2 linked regions of the Nothobranchius furzeri genome follow. The protein of the gene in region 2 purifies or fractionates together with the protein of the main gene of each other region. This does not show direct contact. Links are inferred from orthologs where the notes say so. Each region holds a gene or a part of one and is shown on either strand. Other genes may lie near its edges.

Region 1 (4,487 bases), on a different chromosome or scaffold from region 2:
GACCAAATATTTTACAAGTAATATGAATTTACTGTTATTTAAGGAACAAATTAGACTTAATTTATGTCAGGTCATTTTTTTTGCCGTAACAACGAGCAGCGATTGTTGCCATGACGATGTATGGTTCTTTCCAAATGCCGTCCTCGACCTCCCGTACTCTGTAGAACGGACTTTCTGCTGTACTTGCCAAGAACCTACACCTCAAGTACACAAGAGCATGCTAGTGTACTTAAACCAGGTTCAGCTTTCACTTAATCTGTAAGATCCAGAACTGAATCTAAAGTTTTACTTCTAACTTTTCTTCTACTTCTAGAGTGGAAGTGATCTTATTTGTTGGAGAGAATGGTTCATGTCCTGTTTAATAATGGGTTTCCAGAGTCCTGCAGCATTTAAGAATGAGTAAACCTAGATCCGTTTTTTTGCCGATAACCTGCATAGATAAGCGTCTAACAGTGCTGTAGAGGTGTGTAGCCATTACTTTAGCATTTTAGTGCATCTTATTTAACATTTGAAAATTCAGTCCAAAACTGTAATTATTTCTCCCTCTTCAGGTTAAAACTGCTCTACGTTGGTTTAGTCAGTCACAGTTGAGGGCTAAGAGCTGCAGGGTGCAAACACCTGACCTGCACCCACAGGCCGCACTACACTAGACCGCAGCCGAGTCTCGGCCGCACCTGCAGCTGGCTCGGCCACTCGCGATCTGATAAGAAACAACCCGGCTCTGAGCCGCACGCCTCCTTAAAAAAAAAAACGTTCTCCGCTTTTTCTTCTAGTGATCAAGGTGGAGAGAAAACCCCCCAGCCTGCTGCAGTTTGCTCATTCTGCTGAGCGGTGAGTCTGCTGTGTGTGTGCGCACTTATTAACAACTTTAACTCCTGACCTTTCAATCATGGTGCCATTCTGGATCATCCACACATCACAGTAGGTCCTGGCCACCAACATGGAGGCAATGAGGATCAAGTAGGCTGTCTGAAGATAGAACAGATTATCACACTGCATTGCTCCAACCACTCTGATAAGACACCTGACTGATGGTGACCTTTGCTCTAAGGTCCAATTGGCACATAAACTCACCTCCATGCAGAACACCCTCGGGACCATGATGTTCAGGATCCGGAGAATGCGCAGGAAGAAAACCTTGTCCACTGCTGTCTTGTCTTTTTTGACATCTTTCTACAGAAGACAGAAGCAAGTCCTCTTTAGTGGGTTCAGACTGATTTAGTAGAAACAGTTAAGTTCAAACGGGCTGAACTCACCTCTGTGTTTAAAAGCTGTGAAGATCCTTTTGCACTGAAAGAAAAAAATACAGAGAGTTGGCCTGAATAGAAGATTAGAGCTGGTAAAGGTTTGCTTACACAGCATGACCCGGTTTAAGCCTGTTACATTCTCCACAATAACCATGTTTGGTAGAGCAAAAGTCTGAGCAAATTAACTCCACAACCAGGTCTGTGTGGGAAAAAGCCGTTTTTTAAATAATGCAGCCTAAGGGGTGAAGAAAATTCTCAGTTCTTGAGATTTGACAACCTGAGATGTTCGCCACTGACCCATTAGTGCCTCCAGAAACCCAGCAGCCACTGCTGCTGGTCCTCTTCCAGACCAGAACCACAAATTTGATCACTGGTTTGTGTTCTAGTCCCCATGATCCACACAGCTCCACCTGAACTAAAAACAAGTATGTGCAGTCTGGAACAGCCAAGCAGGTTTATCTGACCTGGACCTGTGTGTGGGTCAGCATGGACATGACAAACACAACACACACACGCAGCGTGCATGAGGGGTTATTTTCTAGTTAAAAATTTTCCCCCAGGTGCCTTGACGTGGTGACCTTTCAGTATCCTGCTAAAGGTCATGACCCCGTAACCGTAGGCCTGCCTTTACCTGAGCATCAACAGAGTTGCACGCAGCGCAAAGAAAAAATCCAGCTAAGGTGGTAAATGTGTGTGTGAATGGAGGTGTGCTCCAGAAGAACGAACACACACACTTTACCTTTGTCTACACATAAAGCAGCAGTAGTGAGCTGGTTGTTGTGAAATGGTGAGTTTTGAACAGGCACCTCAGTGGAAACCTAAAGGTCCTCGGGCAGCAGCCAGTTACACCCAGATGTGTCCCCAAAGGCATGTCTGTGGTGTCCTTGGCTCCTCCACCTTACCCCTAACGCTGGTTTAAGAAACTTGTAAAAATAAAAGCGTTGGCTCATTTTATCTCCATTTTGTCATCCTGGAAACTGAACAAGAGCAACAAAGTCACTGTTAAGCGCTCAGCTGCACGGTGAGACACGCTGCTGACCCACTGAACGGGGTCACTCACCTCCTGACAACTTTATTCTTCTGTGACGGACATCAGCCGGGCTGGCAGGCGGGACCGTTTCTGACGGTGCACACATCTCAATATAACACCAGTGGAAGACTAATGAACATCTGGTTGTATTGCTTTTAGAGGAAACAGCTCAGTTCTTAGCGAAGTCTAACAGCTGAGACCCGACATGAAGGGACTTTAAAACCCCTGAAGGTTTAGCTCCACTCACACAAATGATTTAGCGATTAAAGCTGCCGGTATGAGTCAATGACATAAAGATGGTGACTGACTGTCAACATAACCGATCAGGTAATTGAGTAAAAGCTCTAACTGATCCATGACGTCTGCCAGCGGGTCACCTGTCGGGCCCGGCTCCAATAAACACTCACCTGTACTGTTTAGGCGTCCGGCTTCGTTGCTTCAACAAGTAAATGACAAACAGAATTCCTCCAGCTACACAGGAGTTTTTAGCTGTTACATATTTACTGAAAGCCGCCATGTTTCTGGCTCAACGGTCAGTTTACTTCGATTCACAGACCACTGACACTCATTTCCTTATGTGAGCTGCGCATGCTCAGACGAGCGTCCGCGCAGACGCTGTAGAAACCACAGACATGGGAACAACTATTCTATGGAACGCCAGGTGTGACAAAAATGTGCGAGTCTCACACGAAAAGTAGGCTACACTTGTTACCAGCGACTGTAGAAAAAGTTATTGAGCAGTCACCTTTCACGTGCAGCCAGCCCCCGTCGCTGGTGATGAGATTTCTAGCTCTGTGTTATTTGGCTCGGCCTACAAACAGACCACTCTTTTGGCTCCCAAGATATTTTTATACAATGTACAAAAAACAACAACAATATTTTAGGTTTTGTGCAAAAATAAGTCCAGGATTACAATTGTGTTTCATGAAAGTGACGTCATGGAACCAGACACGGAGAAAAGGCTGTAAGTTCAGCAAACTTCCCACAGGAGGAAAGAACCACCGTAAATCTGGTCATTTGGTAAATAGCAGCTACGCTAGGGGAGAAGAGATTATATGCCACGTGCCGATTTCTAGTTTGTAGTCATGCTAATTACAAACTTTTACAAGCTAACAAATCTCAAAGTACGTGACTGGCATGGTCAAAACACCCATCATTACTTTTCATTTAAATTGCAGTACAACATTGTGATCAGGGCGTAAGGCAAAGTGGATTAGAAAAATAGCGTTTTTAGCCCCGTTCACTTGTATTCATTTTTTCGTTCTTCCAGGGACCCATGATGCGAAAGTGAGTTTTTCTCTCCACTGTTGCTGCATGCTTGCTTAGTATGATGATTGCTCTGACTCTGACACTAGTCAGTGACTCGATGCAACCTGGGTTCCTTTTATAGGAAACTTTTTACTAATTGGCTTAATGAACTGAACTGTATCGAATTATTTACTGTGTGAAGTGCCTTGAGACAACTCTTGTCGTGATTTGGTGCTTTATAAATAAACTGAATTGAATTGACATCACTCCTATTCTGATGTCTCTGTACTGGTTACCCATTAACTTTAAAATTAATTTGAGAATCCTGACTATAACTTTCAGGGCTCTACGTGGTCAAGCTTCTCCCAACTCAACTGCTAAAGCCTTATGCTCCAACCAAACCCTCAGGTCCAAAAACCAGAACCTTCTAGAAGTTCCAAAGACTGATAAAAAAAAAAAGTCAAAGTGAATGCTCTTTTCAGGATATTTCACCCCAACTTTGGAATGAACTTCCTTACAATGTATTGACAGTCTGGACACCTTTAACCCACCCCACCCCCACATTGTTAATGATGTCAGATGGGCTTCAGGTGCTTTTTTATTTTCTATATTTTTTAGGAGAGCGCCACTTCACCCTTGCCAAGGGATAAACTATCAACCATCTTTAACCACCCCCTGTCCTGGAGGGGTCACCTGATAGGACAGTGGAAGGGTTTAAAAGCAGTTGAAGACCCTTGTATTTAAATATGCTTTTACTCAAACCTTTGTTTCCTTCATACATATTATGCCCCTCTCCGATTTAATTTTTTTATGGCTTCGACCTTTTATTTAATTCTGCTGTAATGCAAATCTTTTATGTTTTCTTCATCTGTATATTACATTTAACAATTTAAATAATCTTTCCTTTGTTTTATGATATTTTGTTTTATTCTCATGATCATTTTATGACTTTGTGATTTGTT
Region 2 (4,314 bases):
TTGTTCGTAGTAAAATGAATAGCCTTTAGTCTGTGGTTGTTGTTGCTGTTGTAGTATATGTTGTTACATGACTATATGTTGTTACATGACGTTGTTACCTGATGTTCAGACATGATGTTGTTACTTGATTTTGTTACATGATGTTACTTGATGTTGGTACCTGATGTTATTGCATGATGATAGTACATAATGTTGTTACCTGATGTTGTTACAAGATGTTGTATAATGTTGTTACTTAATGTCACCTGATGTTACCTGATGCTGGTACCTGATGATGTTACATGATGTTACGTGATGTTATTTGATGTTGTTACCTGATGATGTTACATTATGTTGTTACCTGATGTTGTTACTTGATGTTGTTACATGATGATGTTACATTATGTTGTTACCTGATGTTGTTACTTGATATTGTTACATGATGATGTTACCTGATGTTGTTACCAGATGTTGTTACATGATGATGTTACATTATGTTGTTACCAGATGTTGTTACATGATGTTATTATTTGATGTTGTTACTTAATGTTGTTACCTGATGTTGTTACCCGATGTTGTTACCGGATGTTGTTATATGGTGTAGTTACTTGATGTTGTTACTTGATGTTATTACCTGATGTTGTTACTCGATGTTGTTACCTGATGCAAAAACAAGGTAAAATAACACTTGCTGTGTTAAAAAGAACAGTAATGCAGTAGAAATGCAGAACAATTTAATAAAACAATGTCAAATGTTATGACATGTTACTCATTTCTATGCACAGTGTAGAAGTAAAATGCTATTTGTGACCAAAGTGCCATTTAAAAAGATGAACTCAAATGTCAACTCACTTGTGCAGTGGAAATATGAACTAGACAAAGACATGGACAGATATGTTTGCCACATCTGAAGGGGATAACCTAATATAAATTAATGGAAAGCTGACATAATTTGCTTCAAAAGTTTGTTTTCCCTGACAAAGTCTCAGTTATGGAAAACTTGAGACACAATTTTAATATTGTGACAGTTTTGGTTATCATTGGTTTTGATTTTATAATTCAGATTGTCATTTTGACAGAAATATTTACACTGACGTTCAAATTACTTTTTAAATGTAATTATATTAAATGTTAAAACAGCTTGCCAAATTCACCGGCAGCCGGGGCGATGACGTACACAGTGCGTGAGTGTGCGTGCGCGCTCCCCAAAGAGCGAGACGCGTTTTTTTCCCAGAAATATGATGCCTCCCGCGCGTCCTCGCCTGTTGGTCGCTGCTGTTTCAGAAATGGTGAGATGACGATTCTGTGTCAACAGACTTACTTTCCAGACTTGAAGAAGTGCTGTGAATCCTACACAGATATCTCACAGCAGCAAATTAAAACAAAACAAAACACATTGTGCTCTTTTTAGCCACCCAAGGACGACAGCTACACCGTGTAGGAGGAGCTAGCGGCGTGTTTCCGTTAAGAGTAGGCCGAGATGGCGATCTAAGCAGCCGCACTGAATGCGAGCTAACAGCGGCCGAAGATTGGGCAGCTACTACCGGAAACCGATTCACTACTAATTCTTTAATTACCGGGAAGCTGTGGTTCTTCGTTTTGGGCTGGGCGTAAAGAAAGAGTGGCAGCTGAACTGGAAGCAATGGAAGCCGAGTTCTTGGAAATCGATGAGAACGAGAGGTGGAGCGCCATTTACCAGGTAGGAACTATCGGCTGATCATCAAGGTGGAGACACGAACCGTAGGTGAAGCTGTCATTTTAGGCCTGCTCACAACGAGTCAGCAGATATATAAGGTATTAATAATAATCAATGTTTTTATTAGTCACCGGGACTTTTCTGGGTGTGTACAGCCTTGTTCTGATGTGTCTGTCCGGGTATAATACCTGCAACACTCGCTAGGACCCAGGAGTGGCCCGGATCTGTTCTGACTTTAATAAACCTTTATCAAGTGTCCATTAAAACGTTAATCACGTTTTAAAATGCTGTTTAATCACTACTCATGAGTAACTACTTTATTATGATAATTTTAAGTGTGTGTACATGTTTACCTGCATTAACAGTGTTAATAGTGTGATGTCTAGACTCTTTTTTTCTTCTGTTTTTCTAAAGAATTAAATTTAGGAAGTAAGGCCTACATGCACTCAGATCCACTTTCACAGTGTGTGAAACCTAAATCTGCTAAAATTTATTTGGTAAATTTTATTTTGTCTCAGGAGATTCGCCAGCAGTCCAGCGAGTGCGCATGCAATGATGCCAAACTGCCTGAAAACAAGACTCGAAACCGTTACAGGGATGTCAGCCCATGTGAGTTACACTTTGATCATCAGCAGACTCGTTTGTTGTTTTCTCTCGGTTATTATAACCATTCTTAAATTCAGGTAGATTGTGTATTTCCTATCATACCCATATAATAATTCAAAGGTGACAGATTGTAAATTGTTAGGATTGTCTCTTTGAAACTAATTTCTAAATTTTAAATAAGAAAACAACAGTAATTATACAAGTTAGAAAATGTAAAAATAGTTACTATCCACAGAACTAAATCCATCACAGTCCAGCAGCTGAGCTTTGCTGGTTTCCTCTTTTTCACACTGAATAAGCTATGCAAATTGTGCAGCTTGGGTTGCAAATACTTAGTTTTTATTATTCACATCTAACAAGATGTGAAAATGAGGAACCTGAAACTTTTGCCCACATTTACATCTCATATGAAGGATAGGTGGTTACCTCTGTTGTTAGTTTGCTCAATGACTCTTTTCTCATCAGTGTTGCGATGGTAGGGCTGTTCCTCCCCTTCTAAACAACAACAAGACATTTTTATCTGTCTTTTGTCCCCGCTCCTCAGTTGACCACAGCAGAATACACCTGCAGCTGGGTTCCAACGACTACATCAATGCCAGCCTGATAACTGTTGAAGAGGCTCAGAGAAATTATATTCTTACTCAGGTAAGCATCCTGAAGATTCACTGTCCTCTGTATGATTTTACATACAGACACACATCTACTGTATGTAACACGTCTTGGAGTTATGATGTCAACAAATGATTTGGAAAATGGAAGAATACCACAGTGAGAGCATATCCATGGGATTGATCAGTGAGGGAAAAACAGCAAATAGAAAAGCAAGAATATTAAGAGGAGTATATATCAGGCTTTCTATTTGAAAATGGTGGAAATGGGCCATCACTGCTTGTAGTTAAAATGCTGGATGTGGACTAAACTGTCACAACTGCACGTGTCACAAAATCAGAGGCAGTGGCTCGGGTCCAGCTGGAGCCGTGGTTCTGTATGTCTGTATCACAGTACGCTGGTAAAAACCTGGAGATTAGAACGTGGCTGGATCTGTTATTTATTCATCCCGTGCTAATATTGTTATCTAGTGATGCGAAGAAGAAAGTGTGATGTCTTTAAAGGAGTGGTTTATTCCCTGTTTAGGGACCCCTGCCGAGTACGTGTGGCCATTTCTGGGAGATGGTCTGGGAGCAGAGGACCCACGGTGTGGTGATGCTAAACCGGGTCATAGAGAAAGGATCTGTAAGCAGTCGTCTGTCCTTACCGAGACCTTTTAATGTGTCCATTACTCAGGAGTCACGCTACTCTTTTGTTTTCACATGACCTTTGTTTGGTTTTAGATTAAATGTGCTCAATACTGGCCGCAAAGAGAGGAGAAGGACGCCATCTTTGAAGACACCAACTTCAAGGTGACTCTCGTCTCGGAGGACATCAAATCTTACTACACAGTCCGACAGCTGGAGCTGGAAAACCTGTTGGTAAGTCCTCTCTGTTGAGCTGTCTGCCTGAGATAAGAGGTTATTTGACGCTGAGAGCCCGTGGGTCCTGAACACCTTCTGCCACTCGTGATTTAGTCATGAAGACAGAGAAAATATACACGGTGTCTTGTGCTTTAGAGCAAATTAGGAAGGATAAAAGCTAAAGAAGAATTTAACTATTACATCCACAATTTTTACAGAGCTAAATAGTTGTAACTCGTATTTTCAGTTTGGCAGGAATGTCAGGAGCTGGTCCTACGTCTCATCACTTCCTGGTTTTGATCTATAATTTTGCTGCTGAAGTTTGTGGAGCATGAACTGATTTGTTGACAGCACTGGACCTTTCTGAAAATCTGTGTTTAGTTGGGCTTTTCTAGCTGCTGAGGGGATTTGATGCTAACCTATAAAAGGAAGTTTTTTTCCCTAGTTTTTGCTTTAATGCTGATCTGAGCTGAAACATCAAGTGGAAGTTATTTTCATCTCGACTTGGCTTTGGTTTCCATCTGTGGTGCTGTGTTTGACGTGTGACGGTTTTATTTCTAACCCCAACCCTTTCCCTACAGA

What was found.
Region 1: the proteins of ptpn1 (region 2) and abcd3a purify together in Homo sapiens (affinity purification with mass spectrometry; 3 studies listed by BioGRID and IntAct, with this or other methods). This does not show direct contact. The link is inferred for Nothobranchius furzeri from reciprocal best matches to the Homo sapiens genes PTPN1 and ABCD3.

Annotation. Positions count from the first base shown.
Region 1 is NC_091747.1:36,306,980-36,311,466, forward strand, and holds the start of abcd3a (ATP-binding cassette sub-family D member 3a), read right to left. Parts: upstream 2,879-4,487; 5' UTR 2,795-2,878; coding exon 2,685-2,794; intron 1,291-2,684; coding exon 1,257-1,290; intron 1,174-1,256; coding exon 1,075-1,173; intron 970-1,074; coding exon 881-969; intron 1-880. UniProt on the Homo sapiens protein: Broad substrate specificity ATP-dependent transporter of the ATP-binding cassette (ABC) family that catalyzes the transport of long-chain fatty acids (LCFA)-CoA, dicarboxylic acids-CoA, long-branched-chain fatty acids-CoA and bile acids from the cytosol to the peroxisome lumen for beta-oxydation.
Region 2 is NC_091755.1:52,048,843-52,053,156, forward strand, and holds the start of ptpn1 (tyrosine-protein phosphatase non-receptor type 1), read left to right. Parts: upstream 1-1,405; 5' UTR 1,406-1,621; coding exon 1,622-1,678; intron 1,679-2,193; coding exon 2,194-2,284; intron 2,285-2,825; coding exon 2,826-2,926; intron 2,927-3,415; coding exon 3,416-3,514; intron 3,515-3,612; coding exon 3,613-3,750; intron 3,751-4,313; coding exon 4,314-4,314. UniProt on the Homo sapiens protein: Tyrosine-protein phosphatase which acts as a regulator of endoplasmic reticulum unfolded protein response. Mediates dephosphorylation of EIF2AK3/PERK; inactivating the protein kinase activity of EIF2AK3/PERK.